Mus musculus: one gene and its partner. The protein of the gene in region 2 binds, or shares a complex with, the protein of the main gene of each other region. Links are inferred from orthologs where the notes say so. Each region holds a gene or a part of one and is shown on either strand. Other genes may lie near its edges. The genes, in order: Fgf8 and Fgfr2.

Region 1 (4,290 bases), on a different chromosome or scaffold from region 2:
TAACCATATATATATATATATATATATATATATATATATATATATATATTACTCCGTGTTTGCATTTGCAAGATGGGATGCATAAAAGGGGGGCGGCAGGCCGAACCGGATGGGGACTGACAAGGGCCTGCTTGCCTCTCTTTAGCCTACAAAGACTTTCTGGGGCCACCGCAAACCCCTAGTTCTACCCCGGAGGCACAGAGGATCAGTAGAGGGGAGGCTGTGGATGAAGGCAGAGCTGGGTGGTACATCCACGGAGCCACCTGGTCTTCAAAAATACCTGGCCTGGGAAATCTCTGTGCCTGCGGTAACAAAATAGTGGCTCAGGGTTCCCAGAAACCCTATGGAGAAAGCAATGGGGCGACGGGCTTGAAAAGGCTTACAGAAGTCTCTACCTTCTCACCAGCACCTCCCTCTTCCAAGTGACACAAGACACCAGGTACCTGCTCAAGGAAAACCTGGAACTCAGAAGGGGAAAGGCTAGGCAGCTTGGGTCCGTGTCCTGAATGTTGCTGAACGTAGTTATTTTTGCCCCTGCTAATTGCTCAGAAGCAGTGGCTGTGGGTCCTTCAGAGACCCCTGAGCTCTTACCACATAGACGCTTCAAGGTTTTTCTTAAGCTTTATAGACTAGTGCAGTTGGATGGACAGGAGCAAGGCTGAAGGTGATAATGGGGTGGCAAGGGGCATTTCTCCCTCCCAGAGCCTCTTTGGAGACTGTGAGACAGAAAACCAGCGGGGTTGGGTTTTTAGAAAGGTGAAGGCACCGGGTTCCAGTGGCGCCCAAGGGGACGCTCAGCACCGGGGCCCAGTTCACTGTTAGCTGCAGGCTCCCAAGAGGGGCGCGTGCGACCGCAGCACACATTAGGCGACCCAGAGACCTTCTAGGAGGCCAGAGATAAGCAGACCCGACCCTAAGCAGATCAACAGTCCTGCAGGACTCAAGTGTACGGGACCCCACTAAACATGTTGTCCCAGACGCCCCCCAATCCCTGGACGATCCCGCCCCCGGAACGCTGGAAGAGACAGGCAAGGGTAGTGGGAGGCGCCCACACCAGCCGCCCCCGCCCCTCCCGCGGGTCCCTAGACCCCTCCCCTGGGCCAGACCCCCCAATCCCTGCTCTGCCCGCCGCCCCGCCCCCGGCCGCCCCGCCCCCGCCCCGGGCGGCGACCCGGCCCCAGCGCCCAGCCGGGGGTGCGGGCTCCGGCCGCCCGCCCCGCGCTCCCCCCTCGCGGCCGGTGCGGCGCCCCCCGCCCCTGCCCTCCCCCTCCCTTCCCACCTCCCCACCCACCCCACAGGCCCGTTACCCTCCCGCCTGCTCGGGCTCCTGAGCAGCCAGCGGCCACCGGCTCCAGCAGCGGCTCAGAGGGGTTCGGCGCGCGCGGCGAGCACGACATTCCACGAGCCGCGTCGGGATAGCCGCTGGCCTCCCGCACCCCGACCTCCCTCAGCCTCCGCACCTTCGGCTTGTCCCCCCGCGGCCTCCAGTGGGACGGCGTGACCCCGCTCGGGCTCTCAGTGCTCCCGGGGCCGCGCGCCATGGGCAGCCCCCGCTCCGCGCTGAGCTGCCTGTGAGTACCGCGGTCGCCCCCGCGTCCCCGTCGGCCAGCGCCCGCCGAGCCCTCTCCGCTCACCCCGCGCCTCTTTCCTGCCCGCTTTTGTCTCCCACAGGCTGTTGCACTTGCTGGTTCTCTGCCTCCAAGCCCAGGTAAGGAGCGCTGCGCAGAAGCGGGGGCCGGGCGCGGGGAACCCAGCTGACACTCTCGGGCAGGGACACGAGGACCGACCCTTCGGCCAGCGCAGCAGGGCTGGAAAGAACTTTACAAATCCAGCCCCAAACTACCCCGAGGAGGGATCTAAGGAACAGAGAGACAGTGTCCTGCCTAAAGTCACACAGCGAGTGAGTGGAGAGACTAGAACCCAAGGGTCTTGAGCCCAGCGACTGGCCAGTTCGGGTGGATGGGAAGGCTACCTGTAGCCACACCTGGCCTCCTAGGAAGGCGGGAGCTGGAGTCAGCGGGTGTTCCTTGTCAAGGGTAGTTGGGATGTAGTTGCAGCGAATATCCTCGCCGCTGCTCTCTGGGGAGACCTGTGGCCGGTTTGGGCCAACGATCGTGTTAACCTAGGCCCTTTGCATTCTCAACATTTGCTCCGTAAATTTGTCTTTATAAATGTCACGGGTCGGGTAGCGTTGCCTCGCTACTTAAAAGCACCCTGCTCCTCTAGGAAGGCCCGGGCGGGGGGCCTGCGCTGGGCAGGGAGCCCACTTCCCTGCTCCGAGCTGGCCGGGAGCCCCAGGGTGTTTCCCAACAGGTGGGTCCAGACTCCCTCATTCCCGGGTTCATCCATCCATCCTGGGCTGGGTCTGCGCGACTTCCCCGAGGGGGTTGGTGGCCTGAGCCGGCATGTTGTGGGGATGCCCCCAGTCCCCGCTGGCTGCCTGGCGCGGCGGGAGGCGGGTACAAGGGCAATGGGGACCAACTCGGGGCCCCTGGGCGGAGTAGCGTTATAATGGCGTGCTGTGTATTTTTCAATTTCCTAAAGGTAACTGTTCAGTCCTCACCTAATTTTACACAGCATGTGAGGGAGCAGAGCCTGGTGACGGATCAGCTCAGCCGCCGCCTCATCCGGACCTACCAGCTCTACAGCCGCACCAGCGGGAAGCACGTGCAGGTCCTGGCCAACAAGCGCATCAACGCCATGGCAGAAGACGGAGACCCCTTCGGTAAGGTGCATTCCCGGACCCTGGAGAGGAGAGGTAGCTTGGACCTCGCCGCCCCTTGCCAGCCCCAGCTGCATCAGCCAGAAAGGCCTGCGGGCTCTCCACCTGAGAAGGGAAGGAGTTAAGACGAAAAGGTGCCTTGGGGTCAGCTGGAGAGAATAGTGGGGAAGGGACCCTGGGGAGGACGAGGCCAACAGGTGCCCTCTCTTCCCTGCTCCGCAAATGAATGAATCCAGGAGTCTCCCTTACAATCTTCACACACCTCTACCCGGCTGCAGGTGGAGGCAGAGGGTTCAGAGGAGAGGCCCAAATTTAAGGGGAGTTCTTGAAAGAGGATATGTCGCCAGGGCCCACAAAAGGAGAGTGGGAAAAAGAAAGTAGAGAAATCCCCCAGTTCGCCCAGTTTGAAAAAGGGACAGAACTGCTAACTGATCAGAAGGGTCAATTGCACAGGGAGACTCGGCCTGCAAGTTAGACTCCGGGCTCCACTGTGGATACCCCAGGGGACTGAGTCGGCTGGCGGCTTCCCGCAGGGCTGCTGAGTACAGGGAGCTACTGGGGCAGGGGCTGAGAACTGATTGATTTCTACAACATTCAATATTCTTGTCTTGAAATGGGGCCAATTTCCAGACTCCTTGGATGTACCACAAGGAAGCCAAACCCTCAGGGTGGCTGGTGTTGTTTTTAGAGAGTGGGATATTGTAAGTTTAAAAACCTTTAAATAATGACCAACTTAAGCGAGCATGAAAGGAGAAAGGAAAACTCTATTAAAATGTAATAAAAAGGTGAGGCATTTTAAGAGCTAAGAAGAAAAATGGAGAATGATATAAAACAGAAAAAGAACCAGGCGTTTTCTTTTTCAGATGTAGAGTTTGAAAGGAGTTGCAAGTCTGTAAATGTTAAAAAGAGAGAGAGAGAGAGGCTCAGGATTGTTCTCTGCGAATCTCTGGAGAGACCCCCGCGTCTGGCAGAGCGATTAAAACTATTCTTACTTTCACCTTTTTTAACGTTTCCTGAATACTTTCTCCTCTTCTCGAGCCAGTTTGGGGGATCGAGTATGTCTCGCTGCATTTTTTTTTCAGCATCGACATAGCTGACTTCCCTTCAAAGCTAGAGGAGGAGACATAATTTTCCTGGGATAAATCTGTCACTGGGGTGGAAGAATAGGTTCGAAAATGTTAAGCTTTCCAAAAGCCTGCTTGGGAAAGTCTCTGTAAACTACACGGCCAGGCTCCCCTGATCGATCCGAGGAGACCAGAGGGGGGGACTCTTTGGGTGGGGGTGGGGGCAGCCTGCCTGGTGGCCGAGCTCCCCCCGCTGGGCTGGCAGAGCTGGCCTTCAGGCCCTTTGTCCCTCCAAATTGGCTGCTTGCTGCCCTTCTCGGCTTCCCAACAAGAAAAAGGAAAGAATGCCGAGCTCCTCCAGAGTTTACTCTACTGGAGCAAATGGCCTAGCATCCTTGGGTTTTGGGGTGGGAAGGAGAAACTAGGCTGGCAGTGATGATCTTCAGGCATTAGCGGGGTCAGATGCCCACTTACTCTCTTCAGACCCAGAGGAGGCTCTCAGGA
Region 2 (3,805 bases):
GGAGGTAAATGAAAAAAAAAAAAAACAACTTTTCCCTCCGGTCACACAGGGAATATAAAAACAAACAAAATGGACAGCTTAGGTGGACAGAAAATGAAGAAACTCAGTTGGACAAACAGAAAGGAAGACATGCTGAATCCATGTGCCTGGGAACTCCAGGGCCTCTGTCTTTTTCACATGAAGCAAAAGGAAGAGCGCTGTAATAGGTGTTAATTCTTTTTTTCTTTAAAAGCGATGGAGTCAACAAAATCGGTCATCAGATACGATGACCTGACTGAACCTGACCTGTTTGATTCCTGGGAATCACGTGGTAGAGAAAGGTGCTGGCTCCCATGTAAGTTGTCCCCTGGCCACCATTTCAAAAGGACCTTCACTAACCTTGCTATGCCATGTGCATGCCCCCACACAAACGCACACGTGCCCAAGCTACATAAATATATAAATGTAATATATAAATGTAAAAAGATGGAAATGGAAATGGAAAATGGAGAAATAGAAAGAGTTTTCTTTAAAAGTGATGCAGGCTGGAGAGATAGATGGCTCAGTGATTAGGAGCGCTTGCTGCTCTTGCAGAGGACCCGAGTTCTAGTCCCAGCACCACATCAGAGAGCTCACAACTACCGGCCCTCCAGCTCTGAGGGATCCAGTGCTCTCTTCCAGCTTTCCAAGAGCTCCAGCACACATGTATAAACACACACACACACACATCAGTTTTTTAAATGATGAAATAATTAAGGGTCAATGGCCTATCTACCTCAACTTATGGATTTTACTTCTTTTCTCTATTATAAAAACAAATGAGACAGGACATTGCTCCCTTTACTTAAACTCCCTAGACCAGAGTCCAGATGTTAAGAATGGCCCAGGGCTAAGAGATCAGGAGAGGCTGTGAAGGAGTAGCCAAAGGAGTGGCCAAAGGAGTGGCCATTCAGCCTGAAGCCTTAACACTATCTAGCCAGGTAAGAGTTTTATTAAGGACTCTTCCAGCAACTCATTCAGGCAACCAACTTTAACTTCAGCACCATCTAGCTTCTATGGTCCCACAAATGACAGTGGTGTCACTCAAAGTAGCACAGCATTCTCAGGATTAAAAGGAACCCAACTGAGCCTTTTTGACTCCACATTCAACAGCTGGCCAAAGGCTGCATCTGACATATGCTCCAAATTATATCTTAACCCTCTGCAAGAAACACCTGTTGGAAACGAGGCTTCAAGGACGTTGACAAGGACCTGCTCAGCCTGTAGTGTGAAGCTAGGTTGAGAACAGCCAAGGCCCTGTGTCCAAGCCACTACTGACCTGCTAGTTCCCACCTTGTCCACAGAAAGGGCCCAGGAAAGGCAGGGTTGGGTTGAACCCAGAGATTCTTAAGGTATTACACAGTATCACCCGAGAAAGTGTTTAAAATGCAGACTCTTACAGATCCATTCAAGAAGTACTAAATAAGAATTTCTAGGGTTGAAACTAATGAATATGCAGTTTTAACAAACACTAAGATGCACCTCCCCATAGCACAGGCCAGGTTGTTCATTTCCATTGCTAATTTAAAAAAAATAGTGACAATCTTATCAGAATCAAGTTCCGAATCTTATCATAAAGATTTACACCCACACATGCCTGGCTCTTGGAATCCAGGAGCAAGTACAGAAGTCAAGCATTTTTTCCTTATCCACCTTTGAAGGGCTTTGTTTTATGGCACAGGGAAGGTTCTATTGCCTTACCTCCCCCAAAGCCAGCCATCAAAGATCAAGCTCAAGGTTAAAGGTAATTTTCTCCCTGTTCTACATAGCAATCATCGTATCTGGGGGCTGGAGAACTGGCTCAGTGGTTAAAGAGTGCTTGCTGCACTTCTAGAAGACCAGAGTTCAATTCCTACCACCTATGCTGATAAACTCTAGCACTAGTGGACCTGACACTCTCTTTTGGTCTCCACAGGCACCTGCACACATGTACTTATAACCTAAATACAAACACACACACACACACACACACACACACACACACACACACACACACACACACACACACAATCATCCTATCACTGAATCCCTAGCCAAACCTGTAACAATAAACTATACGCATACAGCGTTTTAAAAACCAGACAAAATCAGCCAAAACCCAGTTTAGAAGACATCACAGACCACTTTTATGCAAGCATTAGTTCAGGTATACCTCCATCCTCTGTTTCTGATCTCTACTTAAAATAGTAAATCAAAGAAAATTAAACTCTCTTTCCTATGAAGGGTAAAACTTGAACCCGAACATCTGGCCTCATACAGAAGCAATGGAGCCAGACCAAATGCTTGTTCTCCCAAAGGAGCCGTGAGCTTGAGGGGCGCAGAGGGCATGGCCTCCTCTGCCCATCCCACTGGGCAGCTCCAGTCTTCACACTCTTGTCCTTTAAAACCAGAGCCAGCCTACCAAGCCCAGAGCAGCATTGTGACTTAATGCTCTTTAGTCCCAACCGCTGACTGAACCTCCACACAGTGGCAGATTAGAATTGCCTGCAGTTCTGGAGCTCACAGAAGTTAGGGGGAAAATCAGAGGGAAGAAGATCCAAGAGCTGGCTGGGTGGGGGAGGGGAGTAAATTTCTTCAAACTCTTTATCTACTTTCTGTTACCTGTCTCCGCAGGGGGATGCGCTTGGTCAGCTTGTGCACAGCTGGCTGGCTGCTGAAGTCTGGCTTCTTGGTCGTGGTCTTCATTCGGCAAAAGATGACTGTCACCACCATGCAGGCGATTAAGAAGACCCCTATGCAGTAAATAGCTATCTCCAGATAATCTGGGGAAGCCGTGATCTCCTTCTCTCTCACAGGCGCTGGGTTGCAGATCCGCGGGAGAGGGACAAATAAGCAGGCCACAGAGTTAGGATACCAGAGGGATGTATCGAAGCACACTTCAAGGAATGACGCCAAAGACATCAAGGGCTTCCCTATCTACAGGTCAATGCACAGAGATACCCAGATGCAGAGCAGCCATGGGCCTCCTGCCTGGGCCTCTCCAAATGCTAACAAAGAGCCAAGGGTTCCTCGGTTTATCACTACAGCCCAGGCAGCTGCCTTCTCCAGCCTCAATGGGCATCTGCCACCAGTGAGCAGCTGATACCAGACTGTAATGGGGGACTACAAGGCCTCATTCTGCTAAGCCCCTGGTCATAGCAGGACACCCAGGACACCCACCACAGGAGGACTGTCTGTCATGATGGCGGCTCGACATAAACCAAACAGAATTATTAAAAGGGACCTCATCCACTGTTGCTTCTAAGGAGACAGGGATGATGCTTGCTAGCTAGGGAGGTGCCTCCAGGGGAAGGTTCAACAGGACCCCAGAGGATGGTAGCTCCAAAGGGCTCACACTCAACTAGTAGGCTGGCCCAAAATGTTTTGGCAAGTCCCTTCATATGGTCCAGAATATTTATTCAGTTAAACAAACAGATGTATCAATCTTGAGATAGTCACATATATAATATATGATATATATGTATGTGTATGTGTAGATATGTATGTATGTATGTATATATATATATATATATATATATATATATATATATATATAATACTTAAGAACCAATAAAATGTTTGTATATCCAGTTATCCTGACTTGTTACTGAACCTTTAAATGTATGATGGTACTGCATGTGAGCAGAACTGTGATTAATTTAGCATATTCTTCTGTCAACTATATTGGTTCTTCCTCAACTGGTCAATCTACAAGCAGTGTATTTCCAAACATGATTATTCTCAAGCTGCATCTCCTTAAGGGGTAGTGCTGTCAGGCAAATTGGTTAAGAAGTGCCAGGTAGGCACC

Evidence for each region.
Region 1: the proteins of Fgfr2 (region 2) and Fgf8 are in contact, whole or in part, in a crystal structure (PDB 2FDB), measured with the Homo sapiens proteins. The link is inferred for Mus musculus from reciprocal best matches to the Homo sapiens genes FGFR2 and FGF8. Residues at the interface, in NP_000132.3 of Homo sapiens: Glu160, Lys161, Glu163, Lys164, Leu166, His167, Ala168, Val169, Pro170, Asn173, Asp247, Val249, Arg251, Ser252, Ser282, Asp283, Ala284, Gln285, Pro286, His287, Ile288, Gln289, Ile291, His293, Leu309, Val311, Leu312, Lys313, Ala314, Ala315; in NP_149354.1 of Homo sapiens: His53, Val54, Gln57, Asp62, Leu64, Ser65, Arg66, Leu68, Ile69, Arg70, Tyr72, Tyr75, Arg77, Gly80, His82, Val106, Glu107, Thr108, Thr110, Phe111, Gly112, Ser113, Val115, Thr148, Glu149, Ile150, Val151, Leu152, Glu153, Asn154.

Annotation. Positions count from the first base shown.
Region 1 is NC_000085.6:45,739,934-45,744,223, reverse strand, and holds the start of Fgf8 (fibroblast growth factor 8 isoform 2 precursor), read left to right. Parts: upstream 1-1,339; 5' UTR 1,340-1,539; coding exon 1,540-1,571; intron 1,572-1,671; coding exon 1,672-1,708; coding exon of another isoform or gene 1,709-1,900; intron 1,901-2,226; coding exon 2,227-2,313; intron 2,314-2,544; coding exon 2,545-2,725; intron 2,726-4,290. UniProt on the Homo sapiens protein: Plays an important role in the regulation of embryonic development, cell proliferation, cell differentiation and cell migration. Required for normal brain, eye, ear and limb development during embryogenesis.
Region 2 is NC_000073.6:130,193,559-130,197,363, forward strand, and holds part of Fgfr2 (fibroblast growth factor receptor 2), read right to left. Parts: intron 2,817-3,805; coding exon 2,614-2,816; intron 1-2,613. UniProt on the Homo sapiens protein: Tyrosine-protein kinase that acts as a cell-surface receptor for fibroblast growth factors and plays an essential role in the regulation of cell proliferation, differentiation, migration and apoptosis, and in the regulation of embryonic development.